Linked DNA regions of Macaca fascicularis. The protein of the gene in region 2 purifies or fractionates together with the protein of the main gene of each other region. This does not show direct contact. Links are inferred from orthologs where the notes say so. Each region holds a gene or a part of one and is shown on either strand. Other genes may lie near its edges. The genes, in order: FLNA, OTUD1, KEAP1, FLNC and AIFM1.

The links.
Region 1: the proteins of OTUD1 (region 2) and FLNA purify together in Homo sapiens (affinity purification with mass spectrometry; 3 studies listed by BioGRID and IntAct, with this or other methods). This does not show direct contact. The link is inferred for Macaca fascicularis from reciprocal best matches to the Homo sapiens genes OTUD1 and FLNA.
Region 3: the proteins of OTUD1 (region 2) and KEAP1 purify together in Homo sapiens (affinity purification with western blotting; 3 studies listed by BioGRID, with this or other methods). This does not show direct contact. The link is inferred for Macaca fascicularis from reciprocal best matches to the Homo sapiens genes OTUD1 and KEAP1.
Region 4: the proteins of OTUD1 (region 2) and FLNC purify together in Homo sapiens (affinity purification with mass spectrometry; 3 studies listed by BioGRID and IntAct, with this or other methods). This does not show direct contact. The link is inferred for Macaca fascicularis from reciprocal best matches to the Homo sapiens genes OTUD1 and FLNC.
Region 5: the proteins of OTUD1 (region 2) and AIFM1 purify together in Homo sapiens (affinity purification with mass spectrometry; 3 studies listed by BioGRID, with this or other methods). This does not show direct contact. The link is inferred for Macaca fascicularis from reciprocal best matches to the Homo sapiens genes OTUD1 and AIFM1.

Annotation. Positions count from the first base shown.
Region 1 is NC_088395.1:160,379,398-160,382,912, reverse strand, and holds part of FLNA (filamin-A), read right to left. Parts: intron 3,494-3,515; coding exon 3,353-3,493; intron 3,246-3,352; coding exon 3,117-3,245; intron 2,930-3,116; coding exon 2,756-2,929; intron 2,662-2,755; coding exon 2,500-2,661; intron 2,409-2,499; coding exon 2,205-2,408; intron 2,129-2,204; coding exon 1,976-2,128; intron 1,880-1,975; coding exon 1,757-1,879; intron 1,652-1,756; coding exon 1,385-1,651; intron 1,226-1,384; coding exon 1,088-1,225; intron 901-1,087; coding exon 785-900; intron 242-784; coding exon 109-241; intron 1-108. UniProt on the Homo sapiens protein: Promotes orthogonal branching of actin filaments and links actin filaments to membrane glycoproteins. Anchors various transmembrane proteins to the actin cytoskeleton and serves as a scaffold for a wide range of cytoplasmic signaling proteins.
Region 2 is NC_088383.1:24,239,118-24,243,058, forward strand, and holds the start of OTUD1 (OTU domain-containing protein 1), read left to right. Parts: upstream 1-1,136; 5' UTR 1,137-1,588; coding exon 1,589-3,031; 3' UTR 3,032-3,941. UniProt on the Homo sapiens protein: Deubiquitinating enzyme that specifically hydrolyzes 'Lys-63'-linked polyubiquitin to monoubiquitin.
Region 3 is NC_088393.1:11,048,190-11,051,799, reverse strand, and holds the end of KEAP1 (kelch-like ECH-associated protein 1), read left to right. Parts: intron 1-29; coding exon 30-235; intron 236-513; coding exon 514-690; intron 691-2,406; coding exon 2,407-2,573; 3' UTR 2,574-3,100; downstream 3,101-3,610. UniProt on the Homo sapiens protein: Substrate-specific adapter of a BCR (BTB-CUL3-RBX1) E3 ubiquitin ligase complex that regulates the response to oxidative stress by targeting NFE2L2/NRF2 for ubiquitination.
Region 4 is NC_088377.1:170,300,398-170,303,912, forward strand, and holds part of FLNC (filamin-C), read left to right. Parts: intron 1-128; coding exon 129-255; intron 256-403; coding exon 404-540; intron 541-739; coding exon 740-933; intron 934-1,023; coding exon 1,024-1,137; intron 1,138-2,076; coding exon 2,077-2,220; intron 2,221-2,420; coding exon 2,421-2,544; intron 2,545-2,641; coding exon 2,642-2,802; intron 2,803-3,057; coding exon 3,058-3,148; intron 3,149-3,236; coding exon 3,237-3,406; intron 3,407-3,515.
Region 5 is NC_088395.1:136,424,757-136,428,271, reverse strand, and holds part of AIFM1 (apoptosis-inducing factor 1, mitochondrial), read left to right. Parts: intron 1-2,645; coding exon 2,646-2,788; intron 2,789-3,515. UniProt on the Homo sapiens protein: Functions both as NADH oxidoreductase and as regulator of apoptosis.

The DNA.
Region 1 (3,515 bases), on a different chromosome or scaffold from region 2:
GAGATGGGGCCCCGTCTTGGCTGCTTACAGAAGCGGTACCTTCCTTTTGTACTCTCAGCCTGCTTCCAACCAGCAGGGCAGGGCGGCCGGGCGGGGACAGGGCCTCACCTTGGTCAATTTCTGTGACATAGCACTCCTCCAGGGCTCCTGAGGGGCTGTGCACCTTGGCATCGATCGCCCCCTTGGCCCCATTCAGGCTGACTGCAAAAGAGGCTGGCTGGTTGACCTTTAGCCCTGACTCCTGGAAGCACAGCAGACATGGTTAGATGGGGGGCTTGGGCCAGGGCAAGGGCAAGGGAGAAAGGAAAGGCCCCAGGAGCAGGAGGCCCGCGGGTTGCACTTACCCATCTGGCGTCCAACTTGGTTTAAAGAGGGAGAGCCACTGATTTGCAAGGGGCAGGAAGCCACAGGCACACATCCCCACGCCTGCCCCCACACTCTGCCATCGCACACACCCAGGTGGCAGGAAGGGAGGGCGGCCCCACCCTGTGGGCAGCACCCAGCCTTGGCAGGCTGTCCCTCTTTAAACCACAGCCCTGGTGCTCAAGGGGCACAGGCTTCTGTTCAAAGCCTTTAGACCTGAGACACGAGAAAAACTCCACGTGGTGGGCAGGATATTTCCTGCCGACCCCAAGCGTGGGCTGCACCCGGCCAGAGCAGAGGCCTGGAACCCAGAGCTGGGCCAGGGGGTCACTGGACACAGGGCCGAGGCCTGCTCTCTGCGGTAGCTCTGGTCTGTCCGGGCCCAGGAGCCGCAGGTGGGCGGTTTCTCTCAGTGCCTCACCTGAAGGCTAGAAACAGTGAGGCGGCGGGCATCGCCAGACGGAGAAGCCACAGGCACCACGAAGGGGCTGTCGGGAATGTGTTCCTCGTTGAACTTGACTGAGACTTCGTAGTCACCTGGGCAGGGAAAGAGCGTAAGACCGGTTCATCAGCCTTTGGGCCTCCCGCCTCCCACGAACAGCCTGGGTGGCCCTGGGACCTGAAAGTGAAGAGTGAGTGCCACGCAGAGCCATTTGTGCAATCCCTGGGTCCAATACCCACACTCAGGCCCCACCTCCTCCAACCCCAGCCGGGTTCCCAGTACCTGGCTCCTGGACCACATAAGCCACACCACAGGAGCCGTCCTTGCGGTCCTCGAAAGAGATCTCAGCCTTGCTGGGGCCCTCGACAGCAATGGCCAGGCCTCCGGCACCAGCTTCCCGGGTCCAGATACTGAATTCGGCTGTGGGAGAACAGTGTGTCCTCACTGAAGGCTGCTCCACCAGCCTTGGCCCCCTCCAGGCATAGCCAAGGTAGACATGTCTGCCAGCTCCTTCCTCCACCCCCAACCCCACCCCGGCCAACGCAGGAGAGCGAGCGCTCAGCGTGTGAGCAGGCCTACCTGGCACTCCAGCTTCAGCCCTCTCCAGGCCAGGGCCCCCAGCTCGGACCTTGTGGGCTCCCCCTTCCCCTAGGGGCCCCACGGTGAACTGGAAGGGGCTCCCAGGCACGTGCTGGCCCTTGTACTTGACGCTGACTGTGTGTGTGCCCATCTCAGCAGGAACAAAGCGGATACAGTAGGTGTGGTTCTCCCCTTCCACGATCTCGGCCTCATGGCTCTTGCCCGATGGGCTGGTCACCTGGGCTGTCATATCCTGGATGCTAATTTCTGCAGGGTGGGGATGGGCTAGTGAGCAGCAGCCCTGGGCTCCACCCCTCCTCTTGGGGCTGCTTGAGCCCCAGGACCCCTCCCCAGGCTCCCCACAGCCCCTACCAGGGATCTTTAGGCTGAGATCACAATGACTGCCAACGTTGGCCACTGAAGGAGCCCGACGCCTGCGGGTGATGCTCTCTTTCACCCGGCCCTCGCCTGTCACTTTCACAGAGAAGGGGCTGCCTGCAGGAAGAAAGCACGGCCCACGCCCCTCCGGTCACATACCGCATGTGGGCCCTGGTGTAGTGACGGGGGCTGCCGAGGCACTGCTGCACTCACCAGGCACGTGCTGGTCGGCAAACTTGATGTTGATGATGTAGTTGCCAGGCTCTGTGGGGCAGTAGGTGACCCTGCACGTCCCGTCCTCCAGGTCCTCTGTGTTGATGTCCACCTTGCTGGGGCCCTCAATGGACAGGCTGAGCCCACCATAGCCTGGGGAATGGATACCCCTGAGCTTCGGTGCTATGCAGAGTGTTCCCACCCCAGCTGGTGGGCAGCCACTGCCTACCTGCATCTCGGGTATCAATGATAAACTCCGCAGGCTCAAAGGTGTGGCCTTCGTGAAGGCCCTGGCCAGAGACCCGAACGCGACTGGCATCCCCGATTTCCGACTGGCTGATCACCACCGGGATGGGGCTGCTGGCCACGTGCTGGCCGTTTTTCTTCACATGCACCAGGTGCTCCCCTGTCTCCTTGGGCACGAATGAAATCCCTGGACACAGGGCAGGGCTGTCAGTCAGGGAAGCCGTGGGTTCCCACAGACTGCTGCCTTTCTGAAACCCCTGGACTCTTCGGCCACTTACCCACGTGACCATTACGCAGCCGCTTCAGCAAACAGGGCTCCTCCCGGCCTGAGGGCGGGACCACAGTGGCCGTCAGCAGGCTGAGATCCGTCTCTGAGATGTTGATGGGGATGTCGGCAGCAGAGCCCACCTTTAGGTGGGACATACGCATGGAGTCGTCACCTGGTGGAGGCAGGCCAGCCATCACTGTGTGTCCAGCCATGGGAGACCATGCCCATCCTGCCACCCATTTGTCACTGCTCCCAGTGCCACCCACCTGTGACCCGGGCCGTGAAGGGGCTGCCTGGGATGTGCTGTTCATTGTACTTGACTAGGATGCTGTAGTCACCCGGCAACACAGGCAGGTAGGAGACGCTGCATGTCCCATCCTGGTTGTCAGTGCAGCTGATTTCTGCTTTGGACGGGCCCTCGATGGCCAGAGACAGGCCCCCTGGAGAGAGCCGTGGGTGAGCATGGGAACTATGCTGGGGACACTCCAGTTGGCCTACACTGAGGAGCCCCAATGGCCAGGGCAGCAGGGCAGGGAGCCCCATTCAGGAGTATCTCCTGAGTCCAGCCCTTAGCCCGGTGAGGGCATCCCGGGCACAGAGCAGGTCAAGACCGGAGCTATTGCTCACCCTCTCCTGCATCCTTGGTGTTGACGGTGAAAGTGGCAGGCTTGTTCACTACTCCGTGGGTGAGGCCAGGTCCATAGGCAGTGACATGGCCGCAGTTGACATAATCCACATAGAACTGCAAGGGGCTTCCTGAGGCAGGAAGAAGGGCCTTGTGGAATGGCAGCCTCATGTGTCCCCCAGTCCCATCTCTCTGTGAGGTGGTGGCAGTGGATTGGGCAGAGGCAGGGCAGGCCCACCTGGGATGTGCATGTTGTCATAGCGGATGTCCATCTCGTGCAGGCCAGCCTCACTGGGTGCATACCGTACGGTCACGGTGCCATCTTTGTTGTCAGTGATGGCAGGCTGTGCCACCTTGCCTGAGGGCATCCGAACCTCCCCTGTGGGGCAGGGGGCTGAGGT
Region 2 (3,941 bases):
TACCGCTTTTGACCTCTGGCTAGCAATCGCATCTATTTTCAAAAGGCCCTAGGTGATACTGCATTTGGTATTCTGAGAAAGGCTGTTTATAAAGGGCTAAAAGGCTTCCTTGCTTTCGCCCAAGCAGGTATTTGCCAAGTGACATAGGTCAGAGGTGCAGAAAAGTTGGTTTTGTCTTCGCAGGGCAGGAGAATCCACTAGAGGACTCACCCTTAACAGGTGGGTCCAAGGAAGTGCATAGAAAAGACGCAGTGGTAAAACTAGCTGGGCACCTGTAATCCCTGCCCAAGGCAAGGCTGAGGAAGGGGGATCGCTTGGACCTCGGAGGTGGAGGTCGCAGTGGGGCATGATGGCGCCACTGCAGTCAGCCTGGAAGGCAGAGCAAGACCTTGCCTTAAAAAGGAAAAGAAAAAAAAAAAAAAAGAGGAAAAGACTCGTGGTGCCAGGATTGGTGGCTAGGGCCTGTAATCCCAACACTTTGGGAGGTCAAGGCGGGAAACAACTTGAGGCCAGTAGTTCGATACCAGACTGGGCAACTGTAATAGTGAGACCCTCGCCTTAAAAAAAAAAAAAAAAATTAGCCGGGGGCGGTGGTGCACACCTGGGTTGAGGTGGGCGGATCGCTTGAGTCCGGGAGGTCAAAGCTTCAGTGAGCTATGGACTGCGCCACTACACTCCAGCTTTGGAGATAGGTGAGACCCTCATCTCTAAAAAGATAAAAGAGGCAGTAGTGGATGCAAGGAGGGATGGTAGCCCATGACCATGCAGAGGCCAAACAGCATTCTGTTCTCCACACCCATGCCAGAAGCTTTCCTGCCAAGCAAGCTTTCCGAGCATGCTAACTCGCTCCAAGAAGCGCCCATCCCGCAGCACCCACTGCAGCCGCTGCGGAGAGTGGTGCAGCGCAGAAACCCGTGCCCAAGTCGGGGAAGCGGTCTGCGGGAGTCACGTGGGCGGGAGGCCCAGCCAGGAATTCCCGGACTGCTCAGGCCTCCGAGCCCCCGGCCTCGCCCCGCCCGCGCGCGCGACGAGGGCCACGCCCGTGACGTCGGCGGAGCGGAGCAGGGGGCGGGGCGCGGGCCGGAGTGGGCGGGGCGAGCCGACGCGGCTGAATCGGGCGCCGAGACAAGCCGCGCATTCCAGCGAGTCCACGTGACGCGGCCGCGAGGCCTGAGGTAAACAACCGCGGCCCCGCCTCCCGGGCCTCCGCGCGCACCGCGCTCCTCCTCGCCGGCAGGACGCGCTCCAACGAGGCGGGCGGCTTCCTCCGTGAGTCCCCAGCGGCCGCCGCAGGCCGGAGCAGCTGCAGCGGGCGCGACGCCCCGGGTCTGCGGGCTGAGCGCACCGGCAGGAGTCGAGCTCGCGTCCCGTCCCCGCCCCCCCCACGCTGTGGCGCAGCAGGAATTTGGCCGGGACCCGGGCGCTATTCGCGGCTGCTGACGCGCGGCGGCCAGCGGCCTTGCGCTCATCTCTATTCTGGGGCCGTTGGGTCACCGCGCTCCGCCGGCCCCCTCCCCCGGGCCCGGAGGGTGTGTCCCCCGCTCCGGGGCTCGCCGCGCCTATAAGGGGCAGAGCGGCGGGCAGGGACATGCAGCTCTACAGCAGCGTCTGCACCCACTACCCCTCCGGGTCACCGGGTCCCACGGCCGCCGCCCCCGCGCCACCCGCCGCCGCCGCCCCCACCTTCAAGGTCTCGCTGCAGCCCCCGGGAGCCGCCGGCGCCGCGCCCGAGCCCGAGACCGGTGAGTGCCAGCCCGCCGCGGCCGCCGAGCACCGTGAAGCCGCCGCTGTCCCCGCCGCCAAGATGCCCGCCTTCTCCTCCTGCTTCGAGGTGGTGTCCGGGGCCGCCGCGCCCGCCTCTGCCGCCGCCGGCCCGCCTGGCGCGTCCTGCAAGCCGCCGCTGCCGCCGCACTACACGTCCACCGCGCAGATCACCGTGCGGGCCCTGGGCGCCGACAGGCTCCTGCTGCACGGGCCCGAGCCCGCTCCCGGCACCGCGGGCTCCGCCGCTGGCCCGCGCGGCCGCTGCCTCCTGCTGGCCCCAGCGCCCGCAGCCCCGGTGCCGCCGCGGCGGGGCTCCTCGGCCTGGCTCCTGGAGGAGCTGCTGCGGCCCGACTGCCCCGAGTCCGCGGGCTTGGACGCGACACGGGAGGGGCCCGATCGGAACTTCCGACTGAGCGAGCACCGCCAGGCCTTGGCCGCCGCCAAGCACCGAGGCCCCGCGCCGACCCCGGGGAGCCCCGACCCCGGTCCGTGGGGCGAAGAGCATTTGGTGGAAAGGGGCCCTAGGGGCTGGGAGAGGGGCGGCGACCGCTGCGACGCTCCCGGTGGGGACGCGGCGCGGAGGCCCGACCCAGAGGCCGAGGCACCCCCAGCCCGGAGCATCGAGACCGCCCCGAGCAGCGCGGCGGAGCCGGTGATCGTCTCCGGGTCAGATCCCAGAGACGAGAAGCTGGCCCTGTACCTGGCCGAGGTGGAGAAGCAGGACAAGTACTTGCGGCAGAGGAATAAGTACCGATTCCACATCATTCCCGACGGCAACTGCCTCTACCGAGCTGTCAGCAAGACGGTGTATGGGGACCAGAGCCTGCACCGGGAGCTGAGGGAGCAGACGGTGCACTATATCGCCGACCATCTCGACCACTTCAGCCCCCTGATTGAGGGCGACGTGGGGGAGTTTATCATCGCTGCTGCCCAAGACGGGGCATGGGCTGGGTACCCGGAATTGCTGGCCATGGGGCAGATGCTGAATGTGAATATCCACTTAACTACTGGAGGGAGGCTGGAGAGCCCCACGGTGTCTACTATGATTCATTATTTGGGCCCAGAGGATTCCCTGAGGCCTAGTATTTGGCTCAGTTGGCTCAGTAACGGACACTATGATGCTGTATTTGATCACTCCTATCCTAACCCAGAGTACGACAACTGGTGCAAACAAACTCAAGTGCAAAGGAAACGCGACGAAGAACTTGCCAAATCTATGGCCATATCCCTATCCAAAATGTATATTGAACAAAATGCATGCTCTTGAAATGTCTCAAAACCTTACACCCTGGGAATAATTGCATACATAACTTGTGTTTGGAGAATCACATGAACTCTAATCAGGGTAATAGCACTTTCAAACTTGCTAGTAGATTTTATTGTAGGTGTAATGCCTTAATCATCTTTTTGAATGTTTTCTCAGAGCTGAAGGTTGCTGGGCCACCTAAATAATGTTTCATGATAGCTTTGGGTGATTTTATTGCTATTTATAATTTGCTGTATAAAGTGAGCACTACTTAATTTGCAAGCTGATTTCTCACAGTGTAAATTTGTTCATTCCTGGTAGTCTATTTTCTATAAAAATGTATTTTTGCACAACATTTTTAAAAACTGGTGTACCTTCATCTATGATGTGTTCAGGCATAAATCCAGAGAAGTGCTTTATATGAAATGTATTATTTTGAACAGAGTTTGTGATTTGGTATTTTATGTTGTTGAAATTTGAATTTCACAATTCTTAGATAATTATTTCAAATGGATATTGAAACATTCTTGTTACCAGATGTTTGGCCCATTCCATTTTGATGAAACAGAGCTGTTGTTTTGGAAATCATTATTTTTCTAGAAATGGTGAATCTTTTAAAGAAAATTACCTAATGGAAGGTTGTGGGAAGGTGTTTTTTTTCTTTTTTTTCCTGTTTTAAGGGATAGTACCAGGTCTTACTTGAATGAAAGTCTGATATTTGCTGATGGCAGAATGGTTATTCTGTACCCTGGTTGATATGTAGAGTAGATCGTCTGGTGCTCTCAATTGTTTTTATTGACATTTGTTATTTTGTTATAAAGAGAATGTTAACATGGTATAAAACTCTGTGACAAGATAAGCCTCCTGCTTTAACTTCTTGGATCCAACTAAGAGATTTATAAACTAATGGCATAAATGTCTGGAGCCACCC
Region 3 (3,610 bases), on a different chromosome or scaffold from region 2:
TTGTCCCCATTTTTCTTATGCCCTTGCAGGTATGAGCCAGAGCGGGATGAGTGGCACTTGGTGGCCCCAATGCTGACACGAAGGATCGGGGTGGGCGTGGCCGTCCTCAATCGTCTGCTTTATGCCGTGGGGGGCTTTGACGGGACAAACCGCCTTAATTCAGCTGAGCGTTACTACCCAGAGAGGAACGAGTGGCGAATGATCACAGCAATGAACACCATCCGAAGCGGGGCAGGTGGGTGGGGACGGTAGTGAGGGGAGCATCCAGGAACACCCCCACCATCCTGGGGTGAAACTGAGCCAGGCCTGGGAGAGACCCCCTGTTGCAACCCTCACCCTGAGATAACCACAGAAGCACTGGATTCTGATAGAGTCCAAGCTTCTCTCTCTCCATGCTTCATTTCTGAGGGTGAGAAGGGAGAGGAGAGAGGAAAGGTCTCCCTCAAGGAGGTGATGGCTGGGGCTCCCAAAGCCAGTCCTCCAGAGTCACCTTCTCTGCACGGTGCCCTTTAGGCGTCTGTGTCCTGCACAACTGCATCTATGCTGCCGGGGGCTATGATGGTCAGGACCAGCTGAACAGCGTGGAGCGTTATGACGTGGAAACAGAGACGTGGACTTTCGTAGCCCCCATGAAGCACCGGCGAAGTGCCCTGGGGATCACTGTCCACCAGGGGAGAATCTACGTCCTTGGTGAGGCCCTGGGGGTGGGGAAGAGTCCCGACTAGCCCCATCTCTTGTGGACTGTGGCTGCTTTTGCTTTTTTGCTTTCCTTTTTTTTTTTTTTCTTCTTAGAAACAGGGTCTCGCTCTGTCGCCCAGGCTGAGTGCAGTGGTGTGATCACAGCTTGCTGGAGCCTCAACCTCCTGGGCTCCAGCCATCCTCCTGCCTCAGCTTCCCAAGTAGCAGGGACCACACGCATGCACCACCACACCCGGCTAATGTTTGTTTTTTTGAGATGGAGTCTCGCAATGTTGCCCAGGCTGGGGTGCAATGGCATGATCTCAGCTCACTGCAACCTCCGCCTCCTGGAGGTGCAAGCAATTCTCCTGTCTTAGCCTCCTGAGTAGCTGGGACTATAGGTGTGTGCCACCGCACCTGGCTAATTTTTTGTATTTTAGTAGAGATGGGGTTTCACCATGTTAGCCAGGCTGGTCTCGAACTCCTGACCTCGTGATCCACCCACTTCAGCCTTCCAAAGTGCTGGGATTATAGGCGTGAGCCACCGCGCTGGGGCTTTTTCTTTTTTTGAGACAGGAGTCTCGCTCTGTTGCCAGGCTGGAGTGCAATGGCGCGATCTCAGCTCACTGCAACCTCCGCCTCCTGGTTTCAAGCGATTCTCCCCCCTCAGCCTCCCATGTAGCTGATATTACAGGTGCCCACCACTATGCCCTGCTAATTTTTATATTTTAGTAGAGATGGGGTTTCACCATGCTGGTCAGGCTGGTCTTGAACTCCTGACCTCAGGTGATCTGCCCACATCAGCCTCCCAAAGTGCTGGGATTACAGGCGTGAGCCACCACACTCGGCTTAATGTTATTTATGTATTTATTTATTTTTGAAACGGAGTCTGGCTCTGTCGCTCAGGCTGGAGTGCAGTGGCGCACTCTCGGCTCACTGCAAGCTCTACCTCCCAGGTTCATGCCATTCTCCTGGCTCAGCCTCCCGAGTAGCTGGGATTATAGGCACCTGCCACCACGCCCGGCTAATTTTTATTTTTTTTTGTATTTTTAGTAGAGATGGGGTTTCACCATGTTAGCCAGGATGGTCTCAATCTCCTGACCTTGTGATCTGCCCACCTCGGCCTCCCAAAGTGCTGGGATTACAGGCGTGAGCCACAGCACCCGGCTGTTTTTATTTATTTTTATTTTATTTTTTTGAGACAGAGTTTTGCTTGTGTTGCCCAGGCTGGAATGCAATGGCGTGATCTCGGCTCACTGCAACCTCTGCCTTCCAGGTTCCAGTGATTCTCCTGTCTCAGCCTCCCTAGTAGCTGGAACTACAGGCACGCACCACCACGCCTGGCTAAATTTTTATGTTTTTTTTGGTAGAGATGGGATTTCACCATGTTGCCCAGGCTGGTCTCAAATTCCTGGACTCAAGTGATCCACCCACCTCAGTCTCCCAAAGTGCTAGATTTACAGGCTAAGCTACCGCGCCTGGCCTTTTTTTTTTTTTTTTTTTTTTCTTCAGTAAGAGACTAGAGTTTTGCTATGTTGCCCAGGCTGTCCTCGAACTCCTGGCCTCAAGCGATCCTCCCGCCTCAGCCCTGCAAAGTGCTAGGATTATAGGCGTGAGCCACTGCGCCCGGCCTGCTTTTGCATCTCACAGCTGCTTCTCCCTCTTTCTGTCCCCTGCTCTTGGATGTGGTGTGACAGGTGGTGACCGTCCCTTCTGTTCTTCCTGCAGGAGGCTATGATGGTCACACGTTCCTGGACAGTGTGGAGTGTTACGACCCAGATACAGACACCTGGAGCGAGGTGACCCGAATGACATCGGGCCGGAGCGGAGTGGGCGTGGCTGTCACCATGGAGCCCTGCCGGAAGCAGATCGACCAGCAGAACTGTACCTGTTGAGGCACTTTTGTTTCTTGGGCGAAAATACAGTCCAATGGGGAGTATCATTGTTTTTGTACAAAAACCAGGATTAAAAGAAAAAAGACAGCACTGCAAATAACCCATCTTCCGGGAAGGGAGGCCGCGATGCCTCAGTGTTAAAATGACATCTCAAAAAGAAGTCCAAAGCGGGAATCATGTGCCTCTCAGCGGAGCCCCAGGAGTGTCCAAGACAGCCTGGCTGGGAAAGGGGGTGTGGAAAGAGCAGGCTTCCAGGAGAGAGGCCCCCAAACCCTCTGGCCCTGGGTCCCACCCACCCAGCCAGCCACGCCGGCAGCCCTCACCTTGTGATTTGTTCTTGGATACCTGGGAGGGGGCCAATGGGGGCCTCAGGCGGAGGCCCCCTCTGGAAATGTGGTTCCCAGGGATGGGCCTGTACATAGAAGCCACCGGATGGCACTTCCCCACCGGATGGACAGTTATTTTGTTGATAAGTAACCCTGTAATTTTCCAAGGAAAATAAAGAACAGACTAACTAGTGTCTTTCACCCTGGCTCTGGGCTGGAGGTCTGAAACCCGGGGCCAGAAAGGGCTCTTCTCCTGAAACACATTCCTCTTTGACTTAGGGCTGGTATTTGAAACCGTTTTGTAATCTTTGCCCATCGCATTTTGATATGTAGGGCATCTTTCTCCCCATAGGCAAGCCACACAGCTGTCCTTCAGTTTCAGCTGCCTTGGAAGACAAGGAGCTAATTCCTAGTCACATCTCCCAGGGCTCCCCAAGCTCATTTTTTTTTTTTTTCCTTTTATTTTGAGACAGAGTTTTGCTCGTGTTGCGCAGGCTGGAGTGCAATAGCGTGATCTCAGCTCACAGCAACCTCTGCCTCCTGGGTTCAAGTGATTCTCCTGCCTCAACCTCCCGAGTAGCTGGGATTACAGGCGTGTGCCACCACATCTGGCTAATTTTGTTTTTGTTTTTTTTTTTTTTTTTTTTTTTTTTTTTTTTTTGAGACGGAGCCTTGCTCTGTCGCCCAGGCTGGAGTGCAGTGGCCGGATCT
Region 4 (3,515 bases), on a different chromosome or scaffold from region 2:
ACTGCTCACTAGAGCACTGCCCTCAGGCTGGGTCGGGGTCCCCATGGCTCCTTGAGGGGATTGAGGAGCTGGGACTTCAAGGCTATTGATCTGCCTTCTATCCCCACACCTTGCCTCCCTCTCCTCAGAGGGCACAGAGGAGCCAGTGAAGGTGCGGGAGGCTGGGGACGGTGTGTTCGAGTGCGAGTACTACCCGGTAGTGCCTGGGAAGTATGTGGTGACCATCACGTGGGGCGGCTATGCCATCCCTCGCAGGTAAGTACCTTGCGCCCCCCATGCTGTCCTGTCTAGGACATCACAGGGAGGGATGAAGGGCAGTGGGCTGCGGGGGAGTTTGAGGGGAGATGGAGGGGGACCTCGGGGGTCACTTCCTGGAGTAGACACCAGCTCCCTCTCTGCTCAGCCCCTTTGAGGTACAGGTGAGCCCAGAGGCAGGAGTGCAAAAGGTCCGGGCCTGGGGTCCTGGTTTGGAGACTGGCCAGGTGGGCAAGTCAGCTGACTTTGTGGTGGAAGCCATTGGCACCGAGGTGGGGACACTGGGTAAGTGGCTGAGGGGCAGGAGGAGGGAGTGCTGTGGGGGAGGGCAGCAGGGGGCACTGTGGGTAATGGGTGCAGTGAGCATGCTGGGGAGTGCTGGGGTGAGCAGGGAGATGGGACATGAGGCGGCCAGAGGGGAACTGGGGGATGGGAGGGTCTTGCCTGATGCTGGACCCTCTGACCCTCCCTGACCTCGCCCCAGGCTTCTCCATCGAGGGGCCCTCACAAGCCAAGATCGAATGTGATGACAAGGGGGATGGCTCCTGCGATGTGCGGTACTGGCCTACGGAGCCTGGGGAGTACGCTGTGCACGTCATCTGTGACGACGAGGACATCCGAGACTCACCCTTCATTGCCCACATCTTGCCCGCCCCACCTGACTGCTTCCCAGATAAGGTATGGTCCCAGATTCCACACACCTGCCCCCGGGGTGGGGCAAGCTGGTTCTCCTCCCGTCCCCAACCCAGCCTTCTTCCCTCCACACAGGTGAAGGCCTTTGGGCCTGGCCTGGAGCCTACAGGCTGCATCGTGGACAAGCCCGCTGAGTTCACCATTGATGCCCGTGCAGCTGGCAAGGGAGACCTGAAGCTCTATGCCCAGGTAGGTCATTATCCAGTCTCTGCTGCCCTTACTACCTATGGCAGGGACCCTGGAAGGCAGGGCCAGGCCAGAGGCAGAGACCTCCCGGCAGGAAATGACAACATCACAGAAGATCAGGCAGGACTGATACTCATGGGCCCATCAGTACCATGGAAAATTTTAAATTTTGTGTTTTCTTTTCTTTTTTTTTTTTTGAGATGGAGTCTTGCTCTGTTGCCCAGGAACAACACTCACTGCAAGCTCCGCCCCCTGGGTTCATGCCATTCTCCTGCCTCAGCCTCCCAAGTAGCTGGGATTACAGGTGCCCGCCACCACGCCCGGCTAATTTTTTGTGTGTTTTTTAGTAGAGACCAGGATGGTCTCGATCTCCTGACCTTATGATCTGCCTGCCTCGGCCTCCCAGAGTGCTGGGATTACAGGCGTGAGCCACCACGGCGGGCCAAATTTTGTGTTTTCTTAATGATGATAACCTAAAAATGTATTTTACCAAAGAGTCATTTTTGTGCTAATTTGTAATTGAAAGATTGTTTCATTGAATAAGACAAGGTTTCTCAGACTGGTGTCCATTGACCCCTAGAAGTTAATGAACATAGTCTTGAGAATCTAAGAGGGTGATTCTTCTTTGAACGGCTCATGATTCAGTTTTAGGAACATAAATTTAGTCCACACTCTTCCTGTCCAACACATTTCAGAGTTGAGGAAACCTAGGCTGGGAGAGCAAGCCATACAGATGGCCTTGAGCCAGGCCTCCAGGCTCCAAGGGTGGGCTCTGGCCACCAGAGCATGTGGCCCTGGGCTCTGGTGGCCTCAGTGACTGGTGTGGGGGTGGGAGTGCCTGCGCGTTGGCAGTGGGAAAGGAGGCGCTGGGTTCACCTGTGGCCAGCAGAGGGCGCTCTGCAGAGGCCACAGCTATGAACTTTGCTTGGGTGATGCCCACAGGACGCGGACGGCTGTCCCATCGACATCAAGGTGATCCCCAACGGCGATGGCACCTTCCGCTGCTCCTACGTGCCCACCAAGCCCATTAAGCACACCATCATCATCTCCTGGGGAGGCGTAAACGTGCCCAAGAGCCCCTTCCGGGTGCGTCCTCCCAGCCTGCCCCGTGCCCACCACCAGAGGTCCTTGAGGGAGGGTGGGCGCCTCGCTAGAGTCCCTGTTGTCCCTGGGCTCAGGCTGGGACTGAGGCTTGGGCTGGTGCCACTGAGGCTAGGCTGGGTGCGCTGGGCAGGAGGATGAGCCTTGAGGGAGGTCTCCGTGCTGAGCTGTGACCCCTCCTGCAGGTGAACGTGGGCGAGGGCAGCCACCCCGAGCGGGTGAAAGTGTACGGCCCCGGCGTGGAGAAGACAGGCCTCAAGGCCAACGAGCCCACCTACTTCACCGTGGACTGCAGCGAGGCAGGGCAAGGTGCGCCCAGCCAGAAGGGGCGAGTCTGGGAGGGGGGCAGGGGTGAGTCGGGTTGGGGGGCTGAGCCTGACTCACAGCGGTGCCCGCCTCTCTGCAGGTGACGTGAGCATTGGCATCAAGTGCGCCCCCGGCGTGGTGGGCCCTGCAGAGGCTGACATCGACTTCGACATCATCAAGAATGACAATGACACCTTCACCGTCAAGTACACGCCACCGGGGGCGGGCCGCTACACCATCATGGTGCTGTTTGCCAACCAGGTACCCAAGCTCCTGGTACCTCCCAGCTCTAGAAGGCAGCTGGAGATGCTGTCACGGGACAGGGAGGGATGATTCCACAGACATGGTGGAGCGCTACCTGTGTGAGGCAGGGTGCCTCAGAGGAAGCAAAGGGGGCTCTTTTGGAGGCTGCCCCTGTCTATGCTGGGTCCCCTGGGTGTGTCCTGAGCCACATCTAGCCCAACAGCAGGGGTGTGTTCCCCTCGAGAGCCTTGACTGAGCCTCCTCCACATCCAGGAGATCCCCGCCAGCCCCTTCCACATCAAGGTGGACCCATCCCACGATGCCAGCAAAGTCAAGGCCGAGGGCCCTGGGCTGAATCGCACAGGTGAGTGTCTGGGCAGGGGCTGGGCCTGGCTCGAGGTTGGGGTTAAGTGGCTACCAGGCCCTCACCACATCTCTGGGTGGCTCCTCAGGTGTGGAAGTTGGGAAGCCCACCCACTTCACGGTGCTGACCAAGGGAGCCGGCAAGGCCAAGTTGGATGTGCAGTTTGCAGGGACAGCCAAGGGCGAGGCTGTGCGGGACTTTGAGATCATAGACAACCATGACTATTCCTACACTGTCAAGTACACCGCTGTCCAGCAGGTGCGCTCTGCCCCTCCCATGCCCCCGCCCGACTGGACTGTCGGAGCTCTGGGTCTCCCTCCTCCAGTCCCACGGGACCAGTTCTGGATCCTCCATGCCTTCGCTGCCT
Region 5 (3,515 bases), on a different chromosome or scaffold from region 2:
AGTCTCTTATCTGTAATTCAGATATTGAAATTGAAATTTTAGAATGACCAAAATTTAAGACTATCAAGTTTTCATTTCTCATTTGCCAGTAAAACCTGACCTGAACTGGAGAGAGGCTACTTTATAATCTTTTTAAAATATCACTTAGCATGATTGGTCATATTAATATGTTTGACTATGAGTTGCTGCCCTTTACCTTGCTAGCTGTCACTATGTGGTATATGCCCCATATGCTTAAGACCAGATAATTCAAAGTTCCAAAATACACATGGTCCCCAGGATTTCAGATGAGAGACCACAGATCCACACTGGGCTTGTTTTACCCGTCTGTGGCCTAACATTATGAAAGCAAGGGGGAAATTCCTTCTCTAATCTCTGCAAGTATACATGGGATGCTACTACCAGTGTCCATTCTGTTTGTCTGTTAAAGCCTAGACAGGACAGGAACATATGTGTCAGCCTCTAGGCTAAGCTTGTCCAACCTGCAGCCCAACACAAATTTGTAAACTTTTTTAAAACATTATGAGATATTTTTGCGATTTTTTTTTTTTTTTTTTTTTTTTTTAGCTCATCAGCTATGGTTAGTGTTAGTATATTTTTTATGTGGCCCAGGACAGTTCTTCCTCCAATGTGACCCGGGGAAGCCAAAAGATAGGATGTACCTGCTCTAGATGGATGTTTCTCAATGTGTGGTCCCCATCCTAACAGCAACAGCAGCAACAGCAGCATCCCCTGGGAACTTGTTAGAAATGCACATTATTGAGCCCCATCCCAGATCTATTGAATCAGAACCTCTGGACCTGGGGCCTGGCCGGCTTTGTTTTATAAACCCTTCAGGGCATTCGGATACACTCTCAAGTTTGAGAACCACTGCTCTAGATTGGGGTCTGCCAACTACAGCCACAGGCCAAAGCCAGTCAGTCACCTGCTTTTGTGTGCCCCAGGAGCCATGAGCGGGTTTTGCTTTTTTTTATTTTTTTTTCCTTTTTTCTTTTTCTTTCTTTGAGACAGAGTTTCGCTCTTGTTGCCCAGGCTGGAGTACAATGGCGCAATCTCGGCTCACCGCAACCTCTGCCTCCTGGGTTCAAGCGATTCTCTTGCCTCAGCCTCCCGAGTCGCTGGGATTACAGGCATGCACCACTAGTGGCCTGTTTTTAGTATAAGCAGGGTTTCTCCATGTTAGTCAGGCTGGTCTCTAACTCCCGACCTCAGGTTATTCGCCTGCCTCGGCCTTCCAAAGTGCTGGGATTACAGGTGTGAGCCACCGCGCCTGACCTTTTTTCTTTTTTCTTTTCTTTTTTTTTTTTTTTTGAGACGAAGTCTCACTCTGTCGCCAGGCTGGAGTGCAGTGGCATGATCTCGGCTCACTGCAAGCTCCGCCTCCCGGGTTCACGCCATTCTTCTGCCTCAGCCTCCCGAGTAGCTGGGACTACACCTGCCCAGCTAATTTTTAAAGGGGTTTCACCATGTTGGCCAGGTTGGTCTTGATCTCTTGACCTTGTGATCTGCCCGCCTAGGCCTCCCAAAGTGCTGCGATTACAGGCATGAGCCCCTGGCCTACATTTTCTAAATGGCTGAAAAAAATTAAAGACAATTTCGTGACACATGAAAATTATATAAAATATAAACTTCAGTGTCCATAAAGTTTTATTGGAACATGGCCACATTCATTCATTTATGTATTGTCTTTGGCTGCTTTTATGCAGCATCAGCGGAATTGAGTAGTTGCAGCAGACACCAAATGGCCCAGAAAGCTGAAAATATTTACCATCTGGTTCTTTGCAGAAAAAAATTGCTGCTCTAGGTTGATAGTCAACAAACACGAGGAATAATCACAGAGAAGGTACACTGAGACCTTCCTTTATCTGAAAATGTCAGCATCTCCCTAGAAAAAGAAATCTACAGAACTCACATATTTCTATGTACGGGTGTTGTTATGATCATCACATCATTACATAGCTCTGCATAGTTTTACATCAAAATAACCTTTGTATTATTTTGGAGGAGTAAGAGCCAAGGAGTTGCTGGACACTTTAAATTTTGTCATTATAAAAAATATTTCATAGTCCAAAATTTTTTAGTTCTTTGGGGGAGAGAAACTCATTTAAAATTTTATTTTTCTGGTTTTCTTCTGAGCTTTAACATTTCTGTATTCCAGGACATATTACCTTTCATGCAAGATTGAACTGTGTCCTGGTTAGAGTGTGTTGCGTTTTATTTTGTGCAAGATTGGAGCCATTTAGATTACTCCTTAAATGGTTATTATAATGTCCCAGGTAGCCCATGGTTAACTTTGTATATCTACCTATTCAGTCATCTTTCTGTGTTTACTTCATTTATGGGAAAGACATGAAGGGAGAGGTATCTGATGAACTATTCATGTTTTTCATGATCTTTTCTGGAAGCTGAAGATTTCCTCACTGGGCAGCATTAAATTTTACTCTTAAAAACTTCAGCAACTTAAGAGTGTTCATTCAGCTGTCTGTAGTATTTATGTATGCAGTTTTTATGATGTTTTTCTTGATCATTTAATGGTGAATATCTGTGGGCAGTAAGTCTTGTACAGTGCACTGACGTTTAATCATAAATATGTATTAACTATTTTATTTTTGTATGTGTGTGTCTTAATAAATTATGTTTCTTAGGCAACTTGTTCCAGCGATGGCATGTTCCTCTAGAACTCCAGATGACAAGACAAATGGCTAGCTCTGGTGCATCAGGGGGCAAAATCGATAATTCTGTGTTAGTCCTTATTGTGGGCTTATCAACAGTAGGAGCTGGTGTCTATGTAAGTAGAAAAGCAGCGTGTGTAAAGAAGCTGCCAAACAGCTCCCATTAATAGACTCGATAGTACTCTGCTTTAAAACTTTTGCAACTAATTCCCCTTTCTCCTTTTGGAAAAAATTTCAAAAAGCTTTCTTTTAAGTGCCTGCTGCCTAATATCTTATGGGAGCCAATTCGGGAATGACTGAAATTTAATCTCATGTTGATTGATTTCTGCTCTTTTCACTTGTCTTTTTCCTCTTTACTTGAAAGCCACTGTGTTTTCCTAGATTCAAGTAACCCACAAAATTGTACCTGTTTTCTTGGATGTCACACACTAACCTGTGAATAAAGTCAAAATCCATTGCAGCTCCTTAGCACAATATTTGATTTTGACCTATTTGTCAGACATTTTATTTTTCCTCAGCTTGAGGTTCACATTAAAAAACAAAAAGCCTTCAATAAAAAATATTAAGTATTCCTAAAAGGAAAGCTATCCCTGAATCTCACCCAAAGACTAAATTACAGAAGCAGGGCTAGTATCACTGATTTTAGAATGGAGTTTGTTTGAGGTGAGAAATATGGTGTTTAATTGCTACGTAGTATTAGCACCATTATATCTCCTTAAATGAACTCCGATCAGCTTAGCAGGTCACAGAGGAATTATTCTGTGGGTGTTTTTTCCCTAACTTGGCAGGGTTTACTGTGACTAAGCTGATCAGTCTAAAGTTGGATCCTGTAAGGTTGAGTGA